Saccharomyces cerevisiae S288C: one gene and its partners. The protein of the gene in region 4 binds, or shares a complex with, the protein of the main gene of each other region. Each region holds a gene or a part of one and is shown on either strand. Other genes may lie near its edges. The genes, in order: ARP4, IES1, IES5 and IES3.

Region 1 (7,929 bases), on a different chromosome or scaffold from region 4:
GCCAAGAGTCATGCGGAAGTTTTGTTTCTGCAGAGACAACTTTCATATCGGTTGATATACCATACAAATTGTCTTCCGAGGACAAGTCCAATCCACTCCTATTGGAATTTGCTGAAAAAATCTACACGATGAGAATGGGAAGGTTATCAGGTGCCCATATTGGCAATACTCCATCTTTTCATAGGTTAAGGGATGATTTGGGTTTACAGACGACTCCGTCTCAAGCTTCCGACCGCCATTCTGTTTCAGATGATTTCGATTTAGAACAGGCTACCATCGACGAATTCATCCATTCAGGTGCTAATTTATGCTATGGTATCTTGCAAGTCGTCTTATCCTTACTTCCACCTGCAATCGGTGCTGTGCTATCTATTGTTGGATTCAAGGGATCCCGTGAAGAAGGTTTGAGGCTAGTTTGGAAGGCTACAAAGGAGAGAAATGTTCACGGGTGTATAGGTTTGTTAGGTCTGATGTTTTATTACGACGGTCCTTTCCAATTTACAGATGCTGACTTTGATATACCACCAAACGATAATGGATCGAGGGCTTTAAACAAAAGCAGAACAAACGATAGTAGCCTTTTACCAGGTTATATGGACAGTGCAACCTTATTGCATCCTGGAAAAATTCTGGAGGACGCATTACTAAAAGCAAGAGCACTTTTTCCTAATAGTGCCCTGTGGCTGCTAAATGAGGCCAAAATGCTTGCTGGAAAGGGCAGGCTTCGTGATTCTCTGGCCCTAATGGACTCTATTGATGTCAATAGTATCCGTATGAGACAAGTGAAATCGTTGATGGTGTTTGAACGTGCGATCCTTTTAGTCAACTTACACGAATACAACAGAGCTGCCGATGATTTAATAAGTTTGCTTGATATTAGTGATTGGTCTCACGCATTGTACACTTATTTTGCGGGTTGCTGTTACTTGGAAAATTGGAGGATGACACAATTAGGCTTATTAAATGACGGTAAAGAACAATTCTATAAAGAGCGGGCTCGAGAACTCATATTTGACGCTCCATCTTTGTTAGGTAAGAAAACGTTCAAATCCAAAAATCTTCCATTGGATAGATTCATGCTTAGAAAAGTTCAACAATTTAATAATATGCAGAAGAAATTAAACCTACAAGAACCACTAGACTCAATAGCAACATCACCTGTCCATGAACTGGCTTATTTCTACAACGGTTACAACAGGATGACTGAAAACGATTTAATTTTGACCAAAAAGATGTTGACAGAGTATCACAACCCCGCCATTGATTCGGAAGACCCAGATCAAGAGCTGATCAGAAACTTACTACTATCCTTGACCTTAAGAAGATTGGGGGATGCTGAAAGAGGTTTAGCCTTGTTAGATGACATTGTTCTGCCAAAAATATTCTACATTCAAAATGGCAAAGTCAAATATTTCAAAAAAACCGAAGACCCATGGGCATATCCAGCCGCTCTTTATGAGAGAGCTTTATTCTGTTGGAAACTGGGTGGCATGGAAAGTTTGAATGAATGTAGGGAATGGCTGCTAAGAGCCCAAAATTATGCCGCCGATTACGAATTGAGTACGCGTATCGGTATGAAGATCAAAGCCGCCCTTGATAGAGTTGAAAACGCGCTTGCTTAACCTTTTGCTTCTTCCGCCCCAACATTTTAGAAGTATGCATTTTTTTTTTTCTTTCGACTACTTACCTTCCCTTGCTAGCAGTTATTACAACCATCATTTTTTCGTGACGTTTCATAGTTTTTTTATATTTTTACGCAATGGGTTTCCCGAGTAGTTAGTTCTACGGTGTCGATATATATAGTGTTATGATTTTAAAAATGAACATATTTAAATTTTTGAACCTCCTTCTTAGTTATAGGCCAAGTTCATTACTCCCTAGGAAACAAAACCGGTCCATCGTAGAAATTTTTTTTATTTTACAAAAGGGTTATAGTAGAATCAAGACAATTTATTTATCACTGAGATATTGATCGAGTAGATGAATGGTCGCTCAAACTGCTAAACTGAAAGGCGACTTGTCATTCAACAACGTTTTCTATTCCTATCTAAACCTATCGTTAAGCAATCTTTCGACGCCCACCTCTTCGTATTCCTTTTTCCCAACCCACAGTTGGTGAAATGTTCCCAGACTTGTAAGTATACTACCGCCAAGCCATGACTGGTATTGCCTTTCGATAGTGTGCCCTGTTGTTAATATTCTAAATTTAAGGGATGGTAGTATTTTGTTTAGTTCTGTCATTAACCTATCACTTAATCCAGGAATAGAGGATGTACCGCCTGTAAGGACAACATTATGAGCTAGTGTCGCTCTTAGATCCACATCACTGCTCATTATAGACGAATAAACAAGATCCGCTAGACCAATCAATTCATTATTTTCTTTAGGAGGCTTTTCTTCTTCTAACGGTCTCTTACCGGTTTCATTTGGAGTGTCTGCACTATTTGCAGCCGGAGAAGTAGATTTGCTTACAGCTTCCTGTTCCTTTTCTTCAGTTGGTGTAACTTTCTTGTCTGATTTGTTCACTCCGCTTGGCTTGGTTCTTTTTAGCGGCACGTAATCATTCCGCCAAGTTTTCACAACTCCAGAGTTCGAGCGAGGCCAATTTGCTGGGATGTCATCTTCTTTTGGAAGGAAAAGCTCTTCAGCAAAGCCGTAACGAGTTTCGTTGTCAAAAACAATCTCCTCATTCCAAGGACTTTCAATAGATCTTTTAGCCGTAGAACTTAATTCTGTTTTCGTTTCTTCCAAAGTTTTTGTTGGGCATATATGACAAAGTGTTTCTTTGCACTCTTGAAAGAACCCTCGGTTATTGGCGTAATCATACAGCGATTTATCAACCTCATAGTCGAATGTTTTTTTTATAAACTCTGGTTTTCTTTGCTTGATTGCGAAAAGTGGTATGATTTCTTTGGGTTCCAATGCCTTTTTAATCAAGTGATTGATAAATTTCCCAGCAATAAAATTTCTTCTTGTACTCTTTGATAATGTCATACCATCCACTATTGGACTGACGCTGCAAGTATCATGTCCAATATCAACAACCAAACAATTGGGTCTACCTGCTGCAAAAGAAACGCATGTCGATGTGGGTGCTAAGTAACAGGCTTCAAATTGCATGCCTTCTAAGAGCACTTCTAAAGATTTTTTCCTGTTTTCTGTGCTATTCCAAACGGGCTCAGTTAACAGAGCTGGTATTCCGGAGTTGGAATTCAAATAGAGTTCGTTCTGCAATGCCCATTGCCACTGTTCTTGTGCGGTATCCCAGTCTATGACTAGACCGTTCTCGATAATAGGTTTCAGTTCATAATCTTTTCTTGGAATTCCAATTGATTGTTCAGAAAATATTTTCTTATTGCCTTCATCTGCAGTGTATTTACCGTAAACAGAGGGCAGAATTGATTGAGGGAAGTCAGAACCCGAATAGCCAATATTTGTTGTGTATGAGCCAGGATCAATGACTACTGCGGAAACTTCGTCGCCGCCATAAACTTGCAAAGCAGCATTGGACATAGTTATGCTTTTCACCGCCTTATAACGAAGACTCTTTTTTTGCCTAAAATCCTTGGTTTTCTGTACATCTTGTTTTCTTTTTTTTCTTCTCGCTGTTTCGTCGTCTTCTCCATTTCTTATGTTCGTGTTACTTCAACTTCAAAATAGCTTTAAATGGGAACTTTTCAAAGAAAAACTAATGTAATCTAACTATTTTAAAAACGTACACATCGTAGATATTAATGGATTATATAAGTAAGTAAAAGCCAAAATCTATATTGAAAAAAATTGGTTTCAAAGAGCTTGTCTATCTTCTTAAGGATTTCAAAACCATTTCACCGGCCTTTTCGACACCAGCTTTGGTACCTCTAATGTACACAACATCATTGACTTTGTCAGACTTCCTTGGGACGTTGATGATAACGTCGGCCGCTTCTCTAATCTTTTTGATGTTAGAACCACCTGGGCCAACAATCATATTGAATCTTCTGGTATCAGCACCCCAGACGTAACCGGCATATGTAGCAGATGGTGCCTTGGCAATTCTTTCTTTAATCAACTTAACAGCAGTATCGAGAGCTTCTTCCTTCTTAGCGGAATCGTTTGAAGTGTCCTTTGTGACTTCCTTTTCTTCACCGTCAGAGAGAATGCTACTCAAATCAATTGGTTCATATGTCAACCTCATGGTAATATCACCTTCCTCGGAAGAAGTTGGTGCACCGACTTCTTCGATGGTAAATTTAGTCTTTTCTGCATTTTCGCCTTCGGTAGATCCACAGACTTTCTCTAGAGGAATTTCGATTGGAGCACGAGCTAATTTGTTAGCCTTCTTTGAGGTGTTACCAAATCTTACATTGACGGATAAATCCATTCTCAACTTTTGTATGAAAGCACCACGTTCTGAAACATATTCATAAATGGAGGCAGGAACATCGACTTCTCGGTCAAAATTTTCCCTGATTATTTCATTCAAGATTTTCTTCTCAGCTTTCTCGACATTTTCTGGTGCACCGGTAATAGTTATTTTGCCGCTAGGGTCATCCTTATTAGGAACGAATAAGTTAATGTTAAATTCGGATTCTAGTTGACGACGAACAATCCCACCAGGGCCAATCAAAGCACCCTTTCTTTCTGCTGGAATATCAATGGTCTTAGTAACACTATTTTCAGCATCCTTGACAATCTTGTTAATTTCCTCGACAACCTTTTTGACAAACTTTTGAGGACCTTGTACGGTAATGTCTTTATTTTCGGAGTCTGCGTTAGGAATATCAACAGACTTATTTCTAATTTCTTCACCACCAGCCTTGGAGATAATTTCTCTTAAAATATGACCACCGCTACCAACAATTGACTTATGGTATTTGTGATCAATTTTCAAGACTTCAGTGACAAAATCGGAGGCTTCGGCAACAATGGATTCCACACGTTTGGCGGCATCTTTTATGTTTTGTCTAGAACCAGTGATCTCCAGTTCAACCTCACCAGTTTCCTGAGCCTTTGGATCGGTGCTCTTTTGTAAGAAATCCATCTCAACACCGTATTCAGCTCTGATGTCGTTGATATTGTCACCATTCTTACCGATAATTCTTGGGACGTGCTCAGCTGGAACATTAATAACCATCTTATGTCCGTTCTCCATTTCAAAATCTAACAGAGCTTTCAATTCTTCATGAGCTTTATTGACACCACGAGAAGGGCCTCTAATGGTGACAATTTCATTGTCTCTTGGGAAGTTAATGAAGACATTGTATTTTTCCTGCAAACGGTTACGATAAGTACCGTGTGGACCAATCAGACTACCATGAAACTTAACTGGAACAATTAGTTCCTTTGTGATGATATCAGCCCATTTTTTGGCTTCGGCAGCCAAATATTTCTTGGCATGAGTCAAGTTGTATTCTAAACCAGTCAAAGTAACTTCGACAGTCTTATCTTTCGAAGCATTATTGTTCTCTTCGTTTGGAATATCAATTTGGCAGGCAAACTTCTCACGAATTTGTTGTAGGTTGGAGCCCTTGTTACCAATTAATCTGGCAACTGAGTTGGCTGGAATATTAACAGTCATTTTGCTTTTGCTCGATGGAGAATTCAAAATAGATTCAAAAATTTTGTTAGCAGCTTTGGCAGCTTTTTCATCACCTCTAACAGTTAACTGATTTTCTTCAGGGGTATGTAGTTTAATTTGAAGGTGGCCTTCTTGTTCAGAAATGTCCTCCATAATCAATTTCCATGTAGCGGAAGATGGTTTAAACAATGAGTCTTGAACCTCCTCGGAAAATTCGTAAGTTTTAGTCTCCATGTTGTTTTGTTTAGTACGTAGAGAGTTTAATGACTCATTGGCCTTGTTCAAAGATGCTTGAATCTCTTCAATAGATGGCTTGAAATCTTCATCTTCAGTTAAAGCAACAAGTAAAATACTGTTATCATTTGGATAATAATCACCGAATTGAACAAAGGCAACGCTGCTTTCGGAAGCTAATAAACAATGTTTAATAGACCCGCCGAACAACTCGTAATCCAAATCTGTGATAACCAGGGTTTCGGAAGGTGGAATATTGTTCACAAAAGAAATCAATTCTTTACGAACGGCCTTGATATCGTTTGCCTCATCAGATTTTGCGCTGATGTGGATGGTAACAGTTTCAGCTGTTGGCAATGACTGTATGGATGGTAAAGATATTTTAACATTAGGATGAGATTCTTCAAGACCCTTTAAAACGGAGTACTTGGTGAAATACATGATTAGATTTTTGGCATGGGTCAGATTCTTACTATGAGCCTTGGAAATATCTAAAGATTCAACCACATAGCTCTTTGAAGACGATCTGGCATAGGTGATAGCTTCACCAACCTTATCGCGCAAACCGACAAATGACACAAGCTCATCATCAGGAGTTGATGGGAAAGTGACAATGACATTGTATTTTTCTTTTAGTTCTTCTGCATCAATCAAAAACTGGAACTTGGATGGAATCTTGACCTTTTCTTCGTCCAAATTAGAAGCTAATTTTTTCAAATAATCTTGAATAGATGTCTTCGTGGCTTTTGCTTTTTCACGAGGACCCAATATGACAATATCACCCGATTTTTTATAGAATTGGACTTTGACCTCTTCATCACCCTCATCGGAGGCAAACTCGGAAACATCAATGTATGGTAGGTATTTTTCATCTTCAACGACTAATTTGATTGTGGCATTCTTGGTTTCTTCCTTAACAATGGCCAAGATTTTAGCCTTAGCCAAGTTGACCGATTCAAAATCACCAAATAAAGAAACGTTACTTGTAGTATCATCCATGTCTTCATCATATGAGTTTTCATTGACTTCCTTTGAGACATTGATTTTAACTTCGTAGGCATCACTAATTTCACGAATAGTTCTACCACCTGAACCGATAATACTGGCTTTACATTTGGATGGGACCTCGATGACAGCATTGATTGGTTTTGTTAATTTCTTCACTAACTCTCTCTTTGCTTCATGAACGTTAGCAGCTACACCAGAAACCAAAAAGGTACGAGCATTCTTAGAAAGAGTTGATTCAACAGAAACATCATGATTTTTCTTAACAGATTGGACAATACGAGATAATTCAGGTTTGGTGATTGACAACTGAGATTGCAGGTCCAAAGTGAAAGCCTCTTGGATGTTCTTTGAACGCATCCTCTTGGCCCCAAGGCCAGTAGTCAATGAAGGAGCAGAAGGGGAAGGTGATGGCGAGTTAGAGACAGCAGGTTTCATGTTTGGGCCCCAGCTAACCTTAACGTTCGCGAAGGCAGCATTTGAACCCAAAGAAGGAAGATCCTTCAAAGATGGCAATGGAGTTGGCTTTTTCTCCAACTGAGGATGTTCTTCAGCGGTAGCAGCAATAGTGGAGGCAGTAGTACTTGGCGAATCAATGGTAGTTACGGTTTCAACAGATCCTTCGACAGTGGAAGGGGGAGAGTCAATAGCGGTTTGTTCTTCAGACATTGCAGTTATAATGGAAGGAGGGGGTGTGGGAAGTATATTTTAAGCGTGGTAACCAAAAGACAATAGACGGAAAGTTAGGAAATCAGAATGATTCACCTTAAAAATTATGCTAGATAAAAGACAGCAATTTCAAAGGAAAATAGAAAGTGCTGTTGTGTACTTAGACGTTCTTTTTCAAAGACGTTCAATTGAAAAGCTAATAGCCAATGTTTCGAAGGAAGTTCTGTACGAAATGTAAAAACTATAAATTAGTAAATATACTATCCGTTGCAAGTCTTTAAGAGCTACATTAAATTGAAATTGTCGAGTGTCGCCAACAACAATTCGCGAAAATGAGCGAAAATTTTTCAAGCCCACCGCTAAAAAAAAAAAAAAAAAGAAAAAAAGGGACATAAATACGTATATCTCCAGAAAATGCCCAGTGGAGTGGATGAATACCTGATGGGCTATATTACTACATT
Region 2 (8,245 bases), on a different chromosome or scaffold from region 4:
TGTCCTGAGGCCGTTTCATGGTACCTTCACCGTTGCAAGTAGGACAAGTCGACATCATCTGAAATCCGCCCCTAATGTGAACAGTGGTTCCTGTTCCGTGACAAGTGCTACAACTGACCTTATGCGTGTTTGGTTTCATTCCCGTCCCTGAACAGGTACTACAAGGGTCCAGCGCAGAGAATCTTAACTGAACGTTCTTGGACCCAAACACTGCGTCCTTGAAAGACACTTTATGGACAATCTCGATTGGGTCGCCCCTATATTGTCTGAACATAGATGACGACCTGCTTGCGCCACCGCTACCGCGGCCACCACCACCAAATGCAGCACCAAACAGGTCTTCAAAATTGATACCGCCAAATGGCGAGCCGCCTGCACTGGTGAATCCTGAGAAATCATGAAATTGGGAACCAAAGGGAGAGCCACTACCACCACCGGCACCTCCAGCGGCACCGCCGCCGCCGAAGGCAGCGGGCCCAAATTGATCGTACTGCTGCCTCTTCGTTTCGTCTGACAGAATTTCATAAGCGTTCTGTAAATCGTGGAATTTCTTCTCAGCATCCGGTTCCTTGTTGATATCCGGGTGGTACTTCTTTGCCAGTTTGTAGTATGCTTTTTTGATTTCCGCACCTGTAGCAGATTTCTTCAAGCCTAAAGTATCGTACGGGTCCTTGAATGCTTCGTTGTTTCTGATTGCAGAAGTATGGAAGCTAGATTTTGGTATTCGTGGAGCGATGGATGCAAACGCGATGGCATGTCTATAAAGAATATTATTGATATGGCGAGAATGTCCCACATGGTGTCTAAAGACACCGGAACACCTTGACAATACACCTTGTTGGAAAGCCATTGTTATGTTATGTTTAGAGTATGATATAGGACTTCTCTCTCTTTTTTTTTTTTTGTCCAGGTGGAGTGCGATTTGTTCGTTATATGCCTCATTCCTTAATTTTTATCAGTCAGAACGTTATTTCGCGCTGCAAGTTCCTTACTTTTCCATAGAGTTCCACAGGATGTAAAGAAAAATAATGATAAAAAAAAGCAGAACATATTACCCTTCTTTTGGAGCGTACTTCCATCTGTTACCCGCTCATCCAAATGCACATTCTGTTACCCTCTTGTTCGGTATTTTTCGGAGTTCTCCTTTTCTCCTTCTTTTCCTCTTGATACACAGAAAAGTGGGAGAAGGTAGGGGGAGTCAGAGAATGAAGAAAAAAAGGGGACGCGCAAATCCAAGTGAAAATCTCCGGGAGCGGGCGGATCCCACTAACGGCCCAGCCGAAAATGGAAAAAAAGGGTCGGTGATGTGTGGGTGCCAGCTGGCGGTAGCAATGACGACGTGTTGACGGGCCCTTGGCTCTTGGGACAAGGACTAGAAGCCAAAAGCCAGAGGCGGTAAAAATAGCAAGACTAGAATATTGCTGGCATCTGTTAAGGGGATATGTTGCAACTTGCAGGGGGCGGCACAAAATAACATAGAAACGTAGTAAAGAGGGGAAAAGGAAAAGGAAAAGGAAAAGGAAGGAAAAAAACCCATTGACGTAGAAATTGAAAGAAGGAAAGGTATACGCAAGCATTAATACAACCCACAAACACAGACCAGAAGCACTCTAGACGGAGAGTAACTAGATCTACAGCCCCTGGAAAATCGTTTGGTCAACTTTGAGGTTCCGGTCGTCCCCCTCTTGATCTGAAAGGTCTTTCTCTAAATCTATATTAAAACGTATAAATAGGACGGTGAATTGCGTTCTACTTCCTCAATTGCGTTTGATCTTATTTAATCTCTCTCTAATATATAGAAAAAAAAACCATCTGATTATTCGATAATCTCAAACAAACAACTCAAAACAAAAAAAACTAAATACAACAATGTCTGACGCAGGTAGAAAAGGATTCGGTGAAAAAGCTTCTGAAGCTTTGAAGCCAGACTCTCAAAAGTCATACGCTGAACAAGGTAAGGAATACATCACTGACAAGGCCGACAAGGTCGCTGGTAAGGTTCAACCAGAAGACAACAAGGGTGTCTTCCAAGGTGTCCACGACTCTGCCGAAAAAGGCAAGGATAACGCTGAAGGTCAAGGTGAATCTTTGGCAGACCAAGCTAGAGATTACATGGGAGCCGCCAAGTCCAAGTTGAACGATGCCGTCGAATATGTTTCCGGTCGTGTCCACGGTGAAGAAGACCCAACCAAGAAGTAAATCTTTCGGAACTCTTTGTAGTTACATGGTTTTTTCTTTATGATGTGTGATGTTCCTTAATATTATATTCAATGAATAGCAGAGTAATAAAAAAATTCTAAAAAAAAAACGCTTAAATCGAGGTGGAATATATAAACTTAAGTACGCATATACTCTAGTTCAGTTTAAAAATTAGCTGTTTTTTTAAAAAAAAAAATTCTCTTTCTTTACAAAATGTTCTTAAATGTATGTATGTGTGTGTGTGTGTGTGTGCGTATTGTTCTATTTCACTCCAGCTTAAACATGGCGGTTGCTTCTTCGTCATCAATTTCCGCGCGTTCGATTTTATTTAAAAGTACTTTCTTTGAAGCGCCGAGATTTTTCATGAAATCCGTCTCAAATCCAAGCAAATTATCTTTGAATTTCTTTCTCTTTTTACCGCGAATCCCAAGCACTGACGCTACGGGGATGTCTTCAAATTCATTGAATATCTTGATTAACCCAATATCGCGTCTTTTCAACCTGTTTGGCACCTGGGATTTTTTCAAATCGGCGAGAAACTCCTCTTGTGTCTTACCATTTTCTGACACATGCTTGTTCAGATCTAGCGATATTAGCTTGTCGACCTTGTTTACCGTAGCCGAACTATTGTATTTTTTCAATGGTGTTAGATTTAAATCGTTTTTGTCAATGATAGCAGCGGAGGTGATTTCTTCTTCTGTTTCTGTTGGTGCTGCTGGCGTTACTTTGGGCAGTTGTGGTGTGACTTTTTTCCTGTTCAATGTCATGGGTGAAGAAGATTCCAGTATGGGCGTAGGCGTCAAAAGTGATCTAGTCTCCTCTACAGTCTCCTCGCTCTTGTCATCTTCCCCTTCACCGTCCTCTTCACTCTTGTCACCACCGATACTGGGCTTTTTCACCTCTGTAACATTGGTACGCTCGCGCTTCCTACCCTCCTCCATCTTACTCATGAATTCTCTTCTCTTGATGCGTTGGTTGGCTCCGAACTCTAATTCATCTTCAGGATCCGTGTCGTAACTGCGTTCCGTACACCTTAAAATGAACTTTCCAGCAGGTGCACCATCTTCCAATCCATTGAAAAATCTTACTGATTCTTCGACCTCCTCCTGGCTTAAGTTTGTCTCCAAATGAATATATAGCAGCCAAATCAATATGTTTGATCTATCCTTTGGCTCGTATTTCGAATAGTCCAGTATATCAAATAATGTTGTTGCATAAGCTGCTTTTGATTCTTGTTTTTCATTTTCCGCTTCCGTTTCTTTTACTTCATTCTGTTCATCTACCATATCTTGCTCCTGAGCTTTCGATTCGACTTCCACATACTTGGAAAGAAACCTCTTGTCAATTAGGCCGGAATTATCACATATGCTAAACAACATATTAATAATGTTAAATTTGTTAACGGTGTCCACTTCACCATCATTTTGGTCGACCTTTTTGTAAGTCTCCATCAATGAGAGTTGCTCATTGCCCCACGGCAGATTTTTCAGAATAGATTTCAGTCTAGGTGTATCCTGCAAAAGTTTCGGATCATTGGCATGTAATTGTAAAACTGGCACGGAGTGAAAAGTTCTCAATTGCGATGTCATTTCTAAATAAAAATTTATAGTGGTGTTCAACCTACCAATGTTGACCAATAACGCTAAAACACAAGTAGAAAATGCTACTTGTTGGTCTAATAATAGTTTATCTCTGAGAATTTTGGAACATTTGATAGAAGTGGCTATTGTCAACACATACAATTGTGCGAACGTCAATTTATCGTTAAATACAAATGTCCTTGCATCGTACTCTTTGTCGGTCACGTTGATTGATAATTTATCGCCATCGATATTAATGGGTACAATAGAGTTCTTGTATAGGGGTTTTAGAACATTAGTGAAGATTTGCCTCTTGTCCATCAACAGTTCTTGCATGAAACTGAACTGAATGTCCTTTCTATTGAATGGCTCGCCGTCAGGTTTCTTCAAATGACGATTGTATTTACTGGCATTGCTTTCTTTGGGTTTCCTTCTAACAGTGTTAGTTGTCACTGGCCCCGTTGCCGTACTTGCTCCTGTTGCTTCAGGCACTGTAGAAGGTTCGAAGTTGAGCAAGATGTTGGTATTTTCTTCTTCACTTTGCGTGGAGTCATCATCATTTTTATCGTCGATTTCAATCTCGTGTATAACTGGAATGCTTTTTGTAGTCACAGTCTCGGTCTCTGATTGAATGGAGCTTGGGGATGCTTCTTCTTGTGATCCCGATTTTACAGATTGCATTGGAGAATCTGCTTTTGTTTCGTCAGAATTGTCTTCTCGTAGTTGGAAAGTATCATGAATTGGATCGTATACTCTCTTCCCCATCTTTAATTAGAGTGTCGCCTTTATTTAGCTTTCGATTTTACTTAGTTAATCATGAACTGTTTCCAATACCATATCAGCATTCATTGGGCGTTCTTTACTTACTTGTACCGTTACCGCATTCGAGGGTAACCTGTTTTTCGTTGTACACGATATGCTACAGAATTGTCTTAATATGGGCTAAGAAAAAAAAAAGTCTGATTATTTCTGATACTGCAAAATATATACTGGCTTGGTTAAGAAAAGTGTTGCTTTAGTTCCTTTACATCAAGAGTCGTTAAATTGTTTTGTGTCATAACAGTAGTGGTCTTTTGAGACATCAATCGACTCTCAGGTTTTCCTTCTGTTCATCTTCTTGTTTTCGGTAAAGGTCAGCCAGCATATTTCAATTCTCTCTTTTTTGAAATAACATTATGTAATCTTTCAATCCTTTCTATCCAACGTCTGCTAAATAATTTATTCAAATGACATGTAGACCAGAAAATCGAACGTTGGATAATTTTTCATCCTGAATCATGTTGGTCTCAACTAGAGCAATTTTTTCACGTCCTCTGACACAAAACTCGATAAACTGTCGCATCAGTTTAAAAAAATATGTACGTGTATAATAACTGAATTTAAAAGGATAGTAAATAATTTTTGCATTTTATGGAATGTCAAAATACTAATAAGTCGCAAATATAGCTATCAAATACCATAATTTAGCTACTTATAGAAAGATGCCCAAATCCCGACCAAAAAGGACCATTGCGTCTTCCTCGTCAGTTTTTTATGGAAGTTCACCTTTCCAAAATGATGGCTACATCAAAGTAATGGAACTCGTATCACACATTGTCATTGAAATAAATCATTCACCTACCGCAACAACGGATGAAACGAGAAAGCAGAATAATCCGGAGCTGAAAGTGAAAGAACCAGTTTGTAACCTCAAGAAGTGGGAAAATAACACTAACTTTATATTGGAAGATCATACGAAGAATAAAACAAAACTTTCTAGCACAGATAGGATACGTAAGTGGTTTAGAAGACATATATTAAAGGAAGAGATCGAAATCCTTTCCCATGGAAAACAATTGAGTAGTATTGATGAGGATTATTGCCCTTCAAATGTTCTTGTAGGATGTTCAAGAGATCTAAATAAACTCAGATCATTTCAAAATTTTTAGGAATATAAAATTTCTCAGTAAGAAAAAGAAGATGAATGCGTTTATAGTATTTTAAGTTGTTCAATAGAATATCTTCAATATGTTCATATGTGGACTAAAAGAAGATTTTGGTATATGTCTATAAATTTATTGTTGGTAAACGCCATTAAGCAGCTTTCCAAGAATATGTTATCATTGAGGAGAAGTACGAAAACTGATTATGCACGATTAGGAAAAATTCTGCAAGGAGTATTAAAAAATGGCCTTCGAGAAGAAATGAAATCTCTTTCGATGAGCAATGGTCTTATGGATAATTTGATAGACATATGAAAAAGTCAAAAGTTTTTTTGGCCATATGCAGTAAAAACTTACCCTTCAAATTGCAAAACCATTAGTTTTATTATATTTTTTTTTTTTTCTTTCATTGAAGTATACACGAAATCCCATACGCAAATAAACAGTCGTTGTATCATCAATTTCGGCTGTCTGGATGGCGACTACGAGAGGAAGCTTGCTTGCCATGATAGGACCAATCTCAATTTTTAATTTTTCATTAACTAGCTAATTTTCTATAATGCTCTAAGTTTCCTTTTTCGTTTTGTTTCTTTATAGTGATGATGCTGTTATTGTGACGCTATCAAATCATATACTGTCATCAATCCTCATCTCATCGGCTCCGGAACGCGTTGAATATGTTGTTAAACAAGCTCTTTATAGCTAGCTATAGTAGAAAAGGAAGGAAAGAAGTCTAATCGCTGTATTATCGACTGACAAGGGTTGTCAGTTGCCTTCTTTTATTTTTTGTACTCCCCTGAATCGAGCGGATGTATTTTTTAACAAAGTATTCAGAATTGTTTTTGTATAATCAAAATTTGTCGACGCTAAGAAAATGACGGACGTCGTAATTCCGCTACTAGGTTTTGTGTGCTCATCGATATTTGACACCTATTTTCGACACTTTTAAGGTTATATACTTTGTTTCGGATGTGGGGTACACTCAGTTGACTGATTATGAAAGATATGGCGTAGCCGTTGGGTTAGGGTTATTACACAGAAATGAATTATACCAGTGAAATTATTCTCTTTATGTTTGTTCCTACATGTTTTCCAATCAGAAGGAATTGTTATATAAGGACACAAGAAATGTGTTGGTACGCTCTGCGCCTCAATGACGGTTTATCTATCTAAAACTATTTCTTTCTCGTAATAAAAATACAATAAATAATTAATAATAATATAGTTGATCGATATAACAAAAAAATAACAGCGAGGATGGTTAGTTCAAGTGTTTCCATTTTGGGGACTAGCGCCAAGGCATCCACTTCTCTAAGTAGAAAGGATGAAATTAAACTAACCCCTGAAACAAGGGAAGCTAGCTTGGACATTCCATACAAACCCATTATTGCATACTGGACGGTGATGGGTCTCTGTCTGATGATTGCCTTTGGTGGATTCATTTTTGGTTGGGATACAGGAACCATTTCAGGGTTTATTAACCAAACAGATTTCAAGAGAAGGTTTGGTGAGTTACAAAGGGACGGCAGTTTTCAACTATCAGATGTCAGGACAGGGCTAATTGTCGGTATCTTCAACATAGGTTGTGCTTTAGGTGGCCTAACGCTGGGACGCCTGGGCGATATTTATGGGCGTAAAATCGGCTTAATGTGTGTTATACTGGTGTATGTTGTTGGTATCGTGATCCAGATTGCTTCCTCTGACAAATGGTATCAATATTTTATTGGTAGAATTGTTTCTGGAATGGGTGTTGGAGGTGTTGCTGTGCTGTCGCCAACTTTGATCTCAGAAATTTCCCCAAAGCACCTAAGAGGCACTTGTGTCTCTTTTTACCAGCTAATGATTACCCTTGGAATTTTCTTGGGCTACTGTACCAATTATGGTACAAAGAAATATTCAAATTCAATACAGTGGCGGGTTCCCTTGGGTTTGTGTTTTGCGTGGGCAATCTTTATGGTGATTGGAATGGTTATGGTTCCGGAATCGCCCAGATATTTAGTAGAAAAAGGTAAGTATGAAGAAGCTAGAAGGTCTTTGGCCAAATCAAACAAGGTCACAGTTACTGATCCAGGCGTTGTTTTTGAGTTTGATACTATAGTTGCAAATATGGAATTAGAAAGGGCTGTTGGAAATGCCAGTTGGCACGAACTCTTCTCAAATAAAGGAGCAATTCTACCAAGGGTAATAATGGGAATCGTTATCCAGTCACTGCAACAGCTTACTGGCTGTAATTATTTTTTCTACTACGGCACGACCATTTTCAATGCTGTTGGAATGCAAGACTCTTTCGAGACTTCCATTGTCCTTGGGGCTGTTAATTTTGCTTCTACATTTGTTGCACTATACATTGTGGATAAATTTGGGCGTCGAAAATGTTTATTGTGGGGGTCTGCCTCGATGGCAATTTGTTTCGTCATATTCGCCACCGTTGGCGTCACTAGATTATGGCCACAAGGGAAAGACCAACCTTCTTCGCAAAGTGCTGGTAATGTTATGATCGTTTTTACTTGTTTCTTCATTTTCTCTTTTGCCATTACTTGGGCT
Region 3 (6,814 bases), on a different chromosome or scaffold from region 4:
GAAAATCCTTATGGATGATACAAAAATTATACCGCAACTGGCGTCTTTAATGTTTAGAGCAATGGAGGGAAATATATCAGGCAACATCTTCAACAAGAATAAACTACGAGAAAAAATAATATTTGGATACTTCAAATTCATCGGAATATTGACGCAGTCAAAGAATGGGGTTCATATCCTAACGAGGTGGAATTTTTTTACCGTAATCTATAAGATGTTTCAATTTGAATCGAAACTGGGGCTTGAGTTTCTATTATTAACAATACCAGAATTAGATTTGAAATATTCATCACATTGCCGCGTCATTATCGGCAAGGCCCTTGTAGTGGCCAATGAGAAAGTTAGGATTGAGGCTACAAAGCATATAGGCGATAAACTAAAAGAACTGTTATCCACGAAAGAAAGTGATCTTAAGTTAAAAGCGAATAAAGTGAAACTGCAGCAATTCAAAATGGAAATGTTAACAAGGCAACTATACGACCTGAGCCCCAGCGTAGTCGCCGTAGCAGACCAAGCTTTATATGAATGTATTGTCGCGGGCAATGGCTCTGAAGAGCTGGGCACCTCATTTAGGATGTTTTTAAACCAAATGGTATTCATTAGGTCTCCAATACTTTTCGAGTTATTAAGCCGCCCATACGGGTTCCAGTTGTTGAACGAAATCAATTTTGTGAAGGAGGAAAGGGATTCGTGGTTATCTAAAAAAAACATTGAGTATGTTCATATTGTGGAGGAATTCCTGAAGAAAAATGAATCAATTAATGCAAAATCCCTCACATTTCAACAAAAGAGTCGCCTGCCATTGCATTTTTATGAAAGTCTAACGAAAACAGAAGACGGAATATTACTATTAAGCCAAACAGGAGATTTGGTTACTTTCATGAACGTTATAAAAAAATACGTCAACGGAAACAATATGGCCACAGTAGAAAATGCCAAAGAAATTCTCGACTTAAAAGCAGCATTATGGTGTGTTGGGTTTATCGGATCCACAGAATTGGGGATAGGTCTACTAGATAACTACTCATTGGTGGAAGATATTATCGAGGTGGCCTACAATGCCAGCGTAACCAGCGTTAGGTTTACAGCATTTTATGTTCTGGGATTAATCAGCATGACCCGCGAGGGTTGCGAAATTCTAGACGAGATGGGATGGAACTGTTGTGTCAGTGTACAAGATGAGCCTATCGGGATCGCACTACCAAATAGGCTCGATAGATTTCTATCGTATAACGAACACAAATGGTCCGCATTTGGCGAGTATTCTGATGAGATGATTGTTTTTAATAAAAGCGATGGCGACTTGATAGAAAAATGCTTACCCATCGAATTTGATTTGGACAAACTACTCAAAGAGAAAGATACCGCAGAGAATCCATTAAATGAAAAAATCATTACTAATAAATACGACAACGATATCACAAGTCAAACTATCACTGTTTCAGGTGAAAATAGTAGTCTTTTCGCAAACGAAGGCCTTTCTTCTCCCTATGTTACACAATACCGCAATGACGATGACTCCATCGAGAGCAAGGTACTACATATAGTAAGTCAGCTAGGCAATCATATCCTTTCAAATCACGCAGTGAAGGAGATTACAGAAATAAACAATAAATACGGTCCAAGGCTTTTTGAAAACGAGAAAATGTTCTTCAAAGTATTTAATATGATGTCGAAGTATCGGTTTAAGCCACATGTTAGGAAGTTTCTTTGCGGACTATTTATTAACAATAGAGCGCTTGAAAATGTCATCAGGCACGACAACAAAAGGGACAAAAGGCCGGCTAATTTTACACGTTAGAGCAAAAAAGGGCCGCATGTATAAATGTATATAGTCACAATATTCCATAGACCCAGGCACTTCCCTACACCACAGCATACAAAACCGTTATGGTGTGTGCGTATCATTATATAATAATGGGGTTTCCTTGTACAGAGTATAAGCATCCATTAGCTCCTCGGGAACCTCAATATCTTCATCGTCCTCCAACTTTTCTGTAATCAGTGATATCTGATCATTGTACCACTTCAATTCGGGTACTTTCTCTACTGTTGCTTGAGATATTAAGCGTGGGAGTTCCGTTTCAGCAGAACCAGTATCTGCATCATCAATACTGTTCAGTACCGTTATCACGCTCGATACTTTTCTCAATAATGTAGTGTATTCCCTTTTTAGAGTCCCATCCTGTTTGATAAGCTCATCATTTCTTGCTGATATCTTCCGTATTTCTTTGTCTATAACGCTCTCTGGATCTTTACTAGGCATTTTTTTCTTGTTTTATAATCAGTCAAGTATTGGTTTCCCACAGCCATTCAACTCAGGTTCATCATCTTTTTCGCTTCCAAAAATGCAGTTGATTTCACACAATTTTTCATGAACCAGGGTCCCGCACTCCGGGTAAAGGACCATCACGCCACATCACGTGCACATTACTAGTAAAAGCCACAGGAAATATTTCACGTGACTTACAAACAGAGTCGTACGTCAGGACCGGAGTCAGGTGAAAAAATGTGGGCCGGTAAAGGGAAAAAACCAGAAACGGGACTACTATCGAACTCGTTTAGTCGCGAACGTGCAAAAGGCCAATATTTTTCGCTAGAGTCATCGCAGTCATGGCAGCTCTTTCGCTCTATCTCCCGGTCGCAAAACTGTGGTAGTCATAGCTCGTTCTGCTCAATTGAGAACTGTGAATGTGAATATGGAACAAATGCGATAGATGCACTAATTTAAGGGAAGCTAGCTAGTTTTCCCAACTGCGAAAGAAAAAAAGGAAAGAAAAAAAAATTCTATATAAGTGATAGATATTTCCATCTTTACTAGCATTAGTTTCTCTTTTACGTATTCAATATTTTTGTTAAACTCTTCCTTTATCATAAAAAAGCAAGCATCTAAGAGCATTGACAACACTCTAAGAAACAAAATACCAATATAATTTCAAAGTACATATCAAAAATGGTTCAATCTGCTGTCTTAGGGTTCCCAAGAATCGGTCCAAACAGAGAATTAAAGAAGGCCACTGAAGGTTACTGGAACGGTAAAATCACTGTCGATGAATTATTCAAGGTCGGTAAGGATTTGAGAACTCAAAACTGGAAGTTGCAAAAGGAGGCTGGTGTTGATATCATCCCATCCAATGACTTCTCCTTTTACGACCAAGTTTTGGATTTGTCTTTGTTGTTCAATGTCATTCCAGACCGTTACACTAAGTACGATCTATCTCCAATCGACACTTTGTTTGCTATGGGTAGAGGTTTACAAAGAAAGGCCACTGAAACTGAAAAGGCTGTCGACGTCACTGCTTTGGAAATGGTTAAATGGTTCGACTCTAACTACCATTACGTTAGACCAACTTTCTCCAAGACCACTCAATTTAAGTTGAACGGCCAAAAGCCAGTTGACGAATTTTTGGAAGCCAAGGAGTTAGGTATTCATACTAGACCTGTCTTGTTGGGTCCAGTTTCTTACTTATTCTTGGGTAAGGCTGACAAGGATTCTCTAGATTTGGAACCATTGTCCCTATTGGAACAATTGTTGCCTCTATACACTGAAATCCTATCTAAATTGGCTTCTGCTGGTGCCACTGAAGTTCAAATTGACGAACCTGTCTTAGTTTTGGACTTGCCTGCCAACGCCCAAGCCGCCATTAAGAAGGCTTACACTTACTTCGGTGAACAAAGCAATCTACCAAAGATTACTTTGGCTACTTACTTCGGTACCGTTGTCCCTAACTTAGACGCCATCAAGGGCTTGCCAGTTGCTGCCTTACACGTTGACTTTGTTAGAGCTCCAGAACAATTTGATGAAGTCGTTGCCGCCATTGGTAACAAACAAACCTTGTCCGTTGGTATTGTTGATGGTAGAAACATTTGGAAGAATGATTTCAAGAAGTCTTCCGCTATCGTTAACAAGGCTATTGAAAAGTTGGGTGCTGACAGAGTCGTTGTTGCCACTTCTTCTTCTCTATTGCACACACCAGTTGATTTGAACAACGAAACCAAGTTGGACGCTGAAATCAAGGGCTTTTTCTCTTTCGCCACTCAAAAATTGGATGAAGTTGTTGTGATCACCAAGAACGTTTCCGGTCAAGACGTTGCTGCTGCCCTAGAAGCTAACGCTAAATCTGTTGAATCCAGAGGTAAATCCAAGTTTATCCACGATGCTGCCGTTAAGGCCAGAGTTGCCTCTATCGACGAAAAAATGTCTACTAGAGCAGCTCCATTTGAACAAAGATTGCCTGAACAACAAAAAGTCTTCAACTTGCCATTGTTCCCAACAACAACTATTGGTTCCTTCCCTCAAACCAAGGACATCAGAATTAACAGAAACAAATTCAACAAGGGCACCATCTCTGCTGAAGAATATGAAAAATTCATCAATTCTGAAATTGAAAAGGTCATCAGATTCCAAGAAGAAATTGGTTTGGATGTCTTAGTCCACGGTGAACCAGAAAGAAACGATATGGTTCAATACTTCGGTGAACAAATCAACGGTTATGCTTTCACTGTTAACGGTTGGGTTCAATCTTACGGTTCCAGATATGTCAGACCACCAATTATTGTTGGTGACTTGTCCAGACCAAAGGCTATGTCCGTCAAGGAATCTGTTTACGCTCAATCCATCACTTCTAAGCCAGTAAAGGGTATGTTGACTGGTCCAATTACCTGTTTGAGATGGTCTTTCCCAAGAGACGATGTCGACCAAAAAACTCAAGCTATGCAATTAGCTTTGGCTTTGAGAGATGAAGTCAATGATTTGGAAGCTGCCGGTATCAAGGTTATCCAAGTTGATGAACCAGCTTTAAGAGAAGGTTTACCATTGAGAGAAGGTACTGAGAGATCTGCTTACTACACCTGGGCTGCCGAAGCTTTCAGAGTTGCTACTTCTGGTGTTGCTAACAAGACTCAAATACACTCTCATTTCTGTTACTCTGACTTGGATCCAAACCATATCAAGGCTTTGGATGCTGATGTTGTTTCCATCGAATTCTCTAAGAAGGACGATGCTAACTACATTGCTGAATTCAAAAACTATCCAAACCACATTGGTCTAGGTTTATTCGATATTCATTCTCCAAGAATTCCATCAAAGGATGAATTTATCGCCAAGATTTCAACCATCTTGAAGAGCTACCCAGCTGAAAAGTTCTGGGTTAACCCAGATTGTGGTTTGAAGACTAGAGGCTGGGAAGAAACTAGATTGTCTTTGACTCATATGGTCGAAGCCGCCAAGTACTTCCGTGAACAATACAAGAATTAAGGTTTTAAAAAGGAAGCAAAGTAATGATATTTTCTGAACTTTTTGTTTTTTATTCTGGGATTCAACATCGGTGATTTAATTTTTGTGTTCACATTTAAAAGTTTATTTGGGTAATTTTTTGATATCAATTTTATTACAAAGCCATAACTCTTGCATTTTTTTTATTATATTTTTATATACACGTACATTCTGTATTATTTATAACGCATTCAACATTCGTTTTCTAAAATTTCCTATATTTTTTGAACAAAAATTTTTTGGTTGTAAGTCGGACCAAATGTATATGTCGAAAGAATAATACTTTTCAGGATCCTGCTATACATCATTATATCATATTATTCGAAAACTATAAAAATGTCGTCTAAGGGGAAAAAAACAGAGAATGCCCTTTTTAAGCTGATCCTACGATATCGGCCCACAATTCTTCTGCTTGCACAATAGTACTGTGATTGGCCATCATTTTATTCATGGTTTCGACATATTCATCGTACTCATCTGAATCGTAAACAATACCACCGCCAGCTTGCAAGTAAGCAATGCCATCTTTATAGACCATAGTCCTTAAAGCGATACAATTGTCCATTGTTTTACCGTCGTATGACCAATGACCTACGGCGCCTGCATAAACCCCACGCCTTTCTCCTTCTAGTTCGGCAATCAATTCCATGGCTCTAACCTTTGGAGCACCACTGACAGTACCTGCAGGGAAAATCGATCTGAATGCATCAAATCTTGTCTTTTCTGGGCGGAGAACACCGCTGACTTGAGAAACCAGATGTTGGACATGAGAAAATTTTTGAATAGTTAACAGTTTATCGACACTTGTTGTTAATGGGTCACAAATTCTGTTAATATCGTTTCTTGCTAAATCTACCAGCATAACATGTTCTGCACGGTCTTTTAACGAGCCACGTAATTGGTCCGCTAAAGCATCATCCTCTTCAGTAGTAGCCCCACGTTTGACAGTACCAGCAATTGGATGGGTAATGACTCTATTTTTGGAATCCGATTTGCACAACAATTCTGGAGATGCACCAATGATTTGGAAATCCAAACAATCAATATAAAACAGGTAAGGAGATGGGTTCACTGTACGTAAATGTCTGTAAATATTGAAAGGATGTAACGAAGTTGGCCTTGCCACTCTTTGCGATGGCACACCTTGAATAATATCACCTTTCTTAATATGCTTCTTCAAAGTGGAGACGTGATTTTCGTAACCTTCCTTGCCCACATTCGATTCAAAAGTTTGATTCAATTTAATAGGAGGTTGTTCTGGATATGGTATTGGCGAGGAATCGTCGGTTAGCTTTGATACGATATCAGTGATTATTTGTGCTGCAGCTTGGTAACCTTCCTCCAACGAAGTTTCATTGGTATTAATGTTATGAATGATTTGAAATCTCTGAAAAACATTATCAAAGGCAATAATGGTATCACAAAGCATTAAATATGCCTCTGGAAGTCTTAGGACATCTTTCAAAGGCCTTCTTGTTTTTGGCTCGAAATAACGAACACAGTCATAAGAAATATAACCAATAGCACCACCACTTAATT
Region 4 (7,186 bases):
TATCGTTTATCTTTATCTCATATATATTTGCTTCTCTCTGAAGCGTCATCATCTATCTGTATTTTTAATGCAATCATAGTATAAAAATTTTTAACCAAATTCAAAAATTATAATATTTTAAAAGTTTATGCTTTTGTCCTTTTATATTCAAGTCATTTGGCCATTATTACGCTTTTTTTTTTATTAGGTAAGTGGTTTCAATAATTAAATTCTTTAGCGGGAAGGCTGACTATCTATAGTATTGAAGATAAGTTAAATTAATGTTTAGTTCTGATATTTCATTTTTATTATTAATTAAATTTGCACTATTCGCCATGACGGGTTCACCCGAGTATTTATTTTGCTTTCGTTATACATATATATATATATATATTCTTCCAGGAGAAATACCTGCCTTCTCTCTTACCCCTTGCTCAATCTAAATCAATCCGTGACCTTAAATCTTCTAGCAGAATGACTAAGTCACAATCGATTTTAGAAATTTGAATAACCAGCTCAGAGATATTACTGACAAAAAACTTGTAATGGCACTGTTTTAGCAAGTTTAAGATAAATGTATCCATTAAGAAAGCATTGATTTTATTCGGACCATAATAGGTAGTCACTATTAGAATATCTAAAAGTTCTAGACCAATACCATCTAATTTGTGCTTATTCAATGCGTTGGTCATAAAATTTCTTATTACAGGCTTGATGAAATCCATTATCACATTTAATTTCAACTTGTCCTTTAAATGGTAGTATAAGTTAGGAAAGTCCTGATAGAACTTCCCCTCAGTAACCGTGTAAGAATTCTTGTTGTCCTTATTGTCATCGAAACGACTATTCAACCAGGTAACGTTTTTCGTCAAATTGATGAAAATAGACCGGGATAGAGTTTCCTGCTCTTCGTTGTTACAACATTTCCTTATTGCTAGATACAATGAGTTGTTCGCATACTGACTGAAAAATCCGGCTTCGTCTAGTTCGCTATAGTGATATAAACATCTCTTGTATATTGGAAGACGAAAATCGTTCGGTATCCCAAACCAATATAAGTTATGCTTACTTATCACCAACAGCAGGTCCGTCTCATCGCCAGATGTATGACAACTTCTCAAATTGCTCCAAAACTTTTCCAATTTTAGTTCTCTTCGAAATAAGTTTCTATTTTGAAACTTTAAATTTAAGATGTTCCTCTTTGTTTCCGATTTAATGAGGTTTTGTATGGATGGATCAGTATGAGTGCACAAGGTTTCATCGTTATTATTGGCAATTAATGATAACGATTCTTTTTCACTATTGATTTTCCTTTTATTTTCCTGAATCAAAGAATCTACACTCAAATTTTTTTGTGGTCTAATGACTAATGAAGATGATCCTGATGAGTTCCTGTTGTTGTTTGGAGTAAACAAACCATCAGAAAACACAGAAGACGCAGAAGAAGATGAAGAAGAGTACATCGTTGATCTGTGATTCGGCGAAGGGGCCACAGGACTCCCCTGAGAGTTTGCTCGAGGAATGGCAAAGTTGTCTATTATGGGGACAGCATAACTAATGAGATTAGTATCTTTATCTATTGTTGTGTCCAGAATTGTTGTCCAATCTGTGGTCCCGGAATGTAGGGCCTCTTCTTTCAAATCGTTTCTTGTTATTCTATGCCTGCTATGGAATAGCCGCTGACTGGGTGGTACGTACTCGTGCATGATATTATTAACCATGAGTTGTAGCTGTTTTGTTATATCCAAAGAATTTGGCTAACGTATCCTTGTACGCGTGATTTATTTATATATACGTGCAGCACAATATATATATATATATATATGTATGCGTGCGCTTGGTTATGGCTCAGTAAAGCGAAAGTAACGGAATAAGCGAGGGAAGGGGGATCTAGCGATGAGGGAATGGCAGTAACAGACTGTTCCCTTACAATACACTCTTGCTAAATTACATCAAGGATAATATACTATTTTAAAACAAAAACCAGCCATTTCCCTAAGGACGCGAAACTTTTGTGACGCGTTTCAAATAAAAAAGAATACTGCAAAACGCAGCACAATAATTAGATAAAACTAGTGGCATATGTCACTAATTAACTATATAGTCACTAATACTGTATATATAGCCGACACAGGCTACACAAAACACAAACGCAAAGGAATTAGGAATGTAGGTAGGTACACCGAGGCTAACTGACACTTCTGGGTCATGGACAAGCTTGTTTTTAGCACATCGTAAGGAATGTAACCACGCTTGAAAATAACAACGATACATATCAAGGTAGTTAGAGAGGCATTCCAGCCATAGATACGCAACCACTTTTTCAATCTGCTATTTGTATTAACTTGTAATTCGCTTGAATTCCAGAATTTATTGACGAAATAGACGAAAAGGGGTAGTTGCAGAACTAGCTCAAGGACTACAAACCAGTATAGCCATTCTGGTTTCTCTGATAGCAGGAAATCGTGTTGCTTTGCGATGTGATCACTAACAACCTTTTGCGCAATCCCTAGTTGCCATTTAGCGGGAATAACCACTGATGAGTCGATGAATATGGTGATGGGAATGTGAACGATGAAGTACCACAAGTAGAATTGTTGCTCACGATGTCCTAGCTTCATTATCTCCGGTCGCTTTTCTCTATATGTTTTCACGTGAGTGGCTCGTTTCTCGTACTTATTTGCTGCGGTTGTTCCTTTTATACCTACTAATTCGTATCCTGTACAAAAGCCGATAATTCTTTACTATGTTTTCAAAGGTTTTTTTTTTTTAAACGATATGCAAATTATTAATTCTTTTGAATATTTCTATGTAATCTAAACCACTTTACAATATACTATATGGAATACGTGGCGAAGAAAATTCCATTATCTCACCTCCGCTTCTTTCTCATCTCTTTCATTTTCTTGTAATGTGCCTTCCTACCGCTCGTAGATTTCTCCTGAATTTCGTTGTATTTACGCTTGAAATACTTATTAGAAGCTTCATCACCCATGAGTGTTTCCAAAATAGTCGACTTTCTTTCCTTCCTGTTCATACGACTACTATAAAACTCACTCTTGTCTTCAATTATGGTACCAATAGCAAACCTCTCTGGCACCTCCCAACGTTGCTTCTTATAATGTCTCTTTGGATCAAGAGCAGCTCTATGTTTAATCAGCAATAAATCTCGTTGAACTTCACGACGCATGTTATCATCTGGCTTTGGTAAGGTAAACCAGTCATTATCGTTTTTGTCGCTCTTGTTGGGTTTTCTTTTATCTTCTGTCTCCACACTAGGCAAGACGTTCTTCTTCTTCTTCTTGTTTGCTAAAGCATCAAATCCGGTTTCTAACTTAGGAAGCTTCTTAAGATTAGTTTCGATCTCTTGAAATTTACTTTCAATTTCTACTTCATCATCATTATTGCCTATCTGCAAAACATCCTCTTGTTGAAGAGAAACTTGTTCCTTCGCTGAATTTTTTACTTCTAGACTGGCACTAGCATCTCTTAGTGCTCCAAATAAGTCTTCCACACTTTGATCCATGTTTAACAGCTCCTTTCTCACGTCCTCTTTAATTGGAAAACTTGACGTCTCATCGCATTTTCTATTTCTTTTCTATCTTCTGTTTTAATATGCTGAAAAATTTTTAGGCCGGCACTAACCACGAATTATGATAAAAGAGAAGGATGTTTAGAGAAAAGGTTTTCGTGTGAAAGGGGGAATTGCGTTGTTAACTGACATAGCTGTCTTCAATGGAATCATAACAATGAAGTTCGAAGACCTCTTGGCAACCAATAAACAGGTGCAGTTTGCTCATGCAGCTACTCAACATTACAAAAGTGTCAAAACTCCAGATTTCTTGGAGAAAGACCCACATCACAAAAAATTTCATAACGCAGATGGCTTGAATCAACAAGGTTCTTCGACCCCATCTACAGCTACCGATGCAAATGCCGCCTCAACTGCTTCCACTCACACAAACACCACGACATTCAAAAGACACATTGTTGCCGTGGATGACATATCGAAAATGAACTATGAAATGATAAAGAATTCTCCAGGGAATGTAATAACGAACGCTAACCAAGATGAGATAGATATAAGCACCCTCAAGACAAGGTTGTACAAGGACAATCTTTACGCTATGAATGACAACTTTTTACAAGCTGTCAATGACCAAATTGTAACATTAAATGCAGCGGAGCAGGACCAAGAAACTGAGGACCCTGACTTATCAGATGATGAAAAAATTGATATACTGACCAAAATCCAAGAGAACTTGCTTGAAGAGTACCAAAAACTTTCACAGAAAGAAAGAAAGTGGTTTATATTGAAAGAACTACTGTTGGATGCAAATGTAGAACTCGATTTGTTCAGTAATCGTGGCAGGAAGGCAAGCCATCCAATCGCATTCGGAGCAGTAGCCATACCAACGAACGTCAATGCGAATTCACTAGCATTTAACAGAACCAAGAGAAGAAAAATTAATAAGAACGGCCTTTTGGAAAACATTCTTTAAGCCAAGATTAACATAAGACAAGTTTGCAAAATCCCCAACTTCACTTCCATATGCATATTCATTTAGGTATATATCGTATATTTGAGAAAAATTCATATATGAAACGTTATTAAAACATGAAAAATAGAATGTGTTATCGGGCTTAACTATATTCTGCCATTCAATGCGTGTTTCTTGACCATCTCTCGCACTACCTCTGACGGTACATAGAATGGGTTATGCTTCTTTGTCTTTTTCGTGTGCTCATATTGTCTTTGGTTCTCGAACTCAACCTCCTGGGTTAAATTTATATTAAAGAACAAGAAATCCTCTATGCTATCATTATTATCTTGAGATTCCATCTCAAATAGTTCAGAAAATCCGGTGTTCCCGAGGTCATCGTATTGCAATTTTTGTTTGTCTACCTCATTACTCAAATTGCTATTGGAGGTGCTTTTGATAGCATCACTACATTTATTATGAAGCATATCCATTAACTCCGTCCTGAGTTGTTCCGACGTGTGTCAACAAAAGGATTTACTAAGAATGTTGTATTTTGAGTTTTAAAAGGACGTGCATATGCACATACATATATATATACATATATGCGTATTTATCATCACTCCGTGCTGTTTAGAAGCTGCACATATTATGCATCTATCGCGATAGTATTGTGAGTTGGAGATAAAGATTTAATCATTTGTGCAACAACCGCTTTCTACTGTAGGCATAGAATTTCGCGCATCCCACCCCTTATTAACAATCACATTTTTTTTTTTTAATATTAATGACTCCGGTGGTCGTGATTGTAATCTTGATAACAATCGCGATCATGATCACGTTCTTTAGCCTCATTATCGAACAGTACTGGAGGTGAATAGGCACACCGTTTATCTAAAAGTTCCATGATCGTGGATTGGTCCCTCAAGATGGAATCATACGTATCTACACCACCGTATCTACTAGTGGTAAATCTCAAAATATCCCCAGTGTTGCCACGGTTCAAAACATCAATGTGGTCCAGTAATAGCTCATACGGATTCGTTCGTGGACGAGGCAGTGCTCCTCTATGAATATTGAACCGATGTTTAATTTTCCACATCTGAGATTCTAATTCAGAATAGTTTCGACGTCTTGCGTCCAATTCTGATTGCGTCCTTGGTTTAACTTCGTAATATAATTGTCTATGTAAGTCTTGGTATTCTTTGGCGAACATAAAGTGATTTGACCTTAATTGCAACTCCAAGCTGCTTGTAGTATATGGTCTTTTCATATCATTTGATTTATCCTTACTCGACCTTTTAATAGAAAACCTCCTGATGAAGTGTGGCACAGCAACCACTCCAAATTTTTCTAGAGGCTTTGTGGGCTTTGTTGAGCTTCTTTTGTCAATTCCAAGGCAAGAAAAGTCGTCTTCATCGGCCAAATATTCATCTTCAAATGTATGTATCGTATCATCAGGCAAGTGTTTATCATCGTAGCCTGTATCTGCTTTAGTTGGAGATTTTACTCGTTTTTGACCACCAGATGTATTTGCGTCGCAATTGCTAATGTATTCTGCACCTAAATACAACTTTTCTAAGTCCGCTGGTAAAGCTGGATCATTGACACCCAGTGGACTTGTCATCGTGAATCGTTGTGTTAAACTAATGAAAGAACCTTCCTTTACATTTTTGTCCACTCTGTTTTTGCCTTTATCTTGATCCTCGTTATCACCATCGGTAAAATCTTGGCCGCTATTAATTCCTGAAGCAACGTTAATACCACCACCAATCCTGCTGTCCAACATCGACAAGGCATGCTCACACCTTCCACCATTTATTGATAGCCCACTTAGTGTCAGTAACCTCGTATAGAATCCATATAGGAAATTTAAATTTGAACACGAAACACCATACTTTTTGGCCAAAATGATGGGCTGATGCAAAAGAATTTGAGCAGGATATTCAAATCGGTGGTAGAAACAATAAGGCTCAAACGGTAAGGATAAATATTCCGGATGTTCGTTTGCCGTAGAGTTGATAAGTTGCAGTTTTTTACCTTTGCAATATTCTACGATTTTCCCAAAATTAATCTCTTCTTCACCTTGTGATTTTACTAGCAAAAACCTTGCAATTTTGCTTCCACATTGTGCAAAGCAAATTCCAAGTAACTCTTTCACCAGATCTTTAAAAATAATTTCTGTGGATTTGTTTTCTAACATTTTCTCATAATCAAATTGTTCATAGATGATAGAAAGGATGTTAAGTGAGATTTTAGGAATAAGCAATTCCCACATTTTCAATGCCATTTGTTTTGGGTCCAAAATTAATTTAGATTTCATCCATTTCGCAACGGTCAATCCAAGAAGGAACCTGCGAACATTTGAACCCTTAATCCCTTGCAATTCTAACGAAGCTGCTTTCGTGTTTTCCAGAATGGTTGGACTTGCTTCAAAATTAGCATCACAATAAGTTAATCCCAAAGTTATTACACATTGATCGTCGTTGACCAATGCATATGATCCAAGCGATAACTGTCTGCATTCAACCTCACACGAAATGGAAATAACACACTTGCACTTCCCTCCAAAATAACTTATGGCTATGGGCTCCAGTTCGCAACCAAAATCAGTGCTAATAAGCACAGTCGTATTGTCGTTCGTGTAATCTGACAACAATCGACAAGTTGTTTCGAAAGACTGTAAGGAAATTGCAGACACTAACACAATGTCAATTGAATACGTA

What was found.
Region 1: IES3 (region 4) and ARP4 share a complex: the UniProt entries of both Saccharomyces cerevisiae proteins name them as parts of the chromatin-remodeling INO80 complex.
Region 2: IES3 (region 4) and IES1 share a complex: the UniProt entries of both Saccharomyces cerevisiae proteins name them as parts of the chromatin-remodeling INO80 complex.
Region 3: IES3 (region 4) and IES5 share a complex: the UniProt entries of both Saccharomyces cerevisiae proteins name them as parts of the chromatin-remodeling INO80 complex.

Annotation. Positions count from the first base shown.
Region 1 is NC_001142.9:281,759-289,687, forward strand, and holds ARP4 (Arp4p), read right to left. Parts: upstream 3,514-7,929; coding exon 2,044-3,513; downstream 1-2,043. Other genes in the region: IML2 (Iml2p), read left to right, coding at 1-1,622; SCP160 (Scp160p), read right to left, coding at 3,800-7,468. UniProt on the Saccharomyces cerevisiae protein: Chromatin interaction component of the NuA4 histone acetyltransferase complex which is involved in transcriptional activation of selected genes principally by acetylation of nucleosomal histone H4 and H2A. The NuA4 complex is also involved in DNA repair.
Region 2 is NC_001138.5:105,387-113,631, forward strand, and holds IES1 (Ies1p), read right to left. Parts: upstream 4,545-8,245; coding exon 2,466-4,544; downstream 1-2,465. Other genes in the region: MDJ1 (Mdj1p), read right to left, coding at 1-850; YFL015C (uncharacterized protein), read right to left, coding at 1,083-1,577; lipid-binding protein HSP12, read left to right, coding at 1,870-2,199; YFL012W (uncharacterized protein), read left to right, coding at 5,261-5,707; hexose transporter HXT10, read left to right, coding at 6,959-8,245. UniProt on the Saccharomyces cerevisiae protein: Probably involved in transcription regulation via its interaction with the INO80 complex, a chromatin-remodeling complex.
Region 3 is NC_001137.3:338,307-345,120, reverse strand, and holds IES5 (Ies5p), read right to left. Parts: upstream 2,267-6,814; coding exon 1,889-2,266; downstream 1-1,888. Other genes in the region: TORC2 complex subunit TSC11, read left to right, coding at 1-1,801; MET6 (5-methyltetrahydropteroyltriglutamate-homocysteine S-methyltransferase), read left to right, coding at 2,954-5,257; anthranilate synthase TRP2, read right to left, coding at 5,649-6,814.
Region 4 is NC_001144.5:243,473-250,658, forward strand, and holds IES3 (Ies3p), read left to right. Parts: upstream 1-3,728; coding exon 3,729-4,481; downstream 4,482-7,186. Other genes in the region: MLO50 (Mlo50p), read right to left, coding at 414-1,700; EMA19 (Ema19p), read right to left, coding at 2,115-2,600; FCF2 (Fcf2p), read right to left, coding at 2,852-3,505; NRS1 (Nrs1p), read right to left, coding at 4,628-4,954; OSW2 (Osw2p), read right to left, coding at 5,245-7,186. UniProt on the Saccharomyces cerevisiae protein: Probably involved in transcription regulation via its interaction with the INO80 complex, a chromatin-remodeling complex.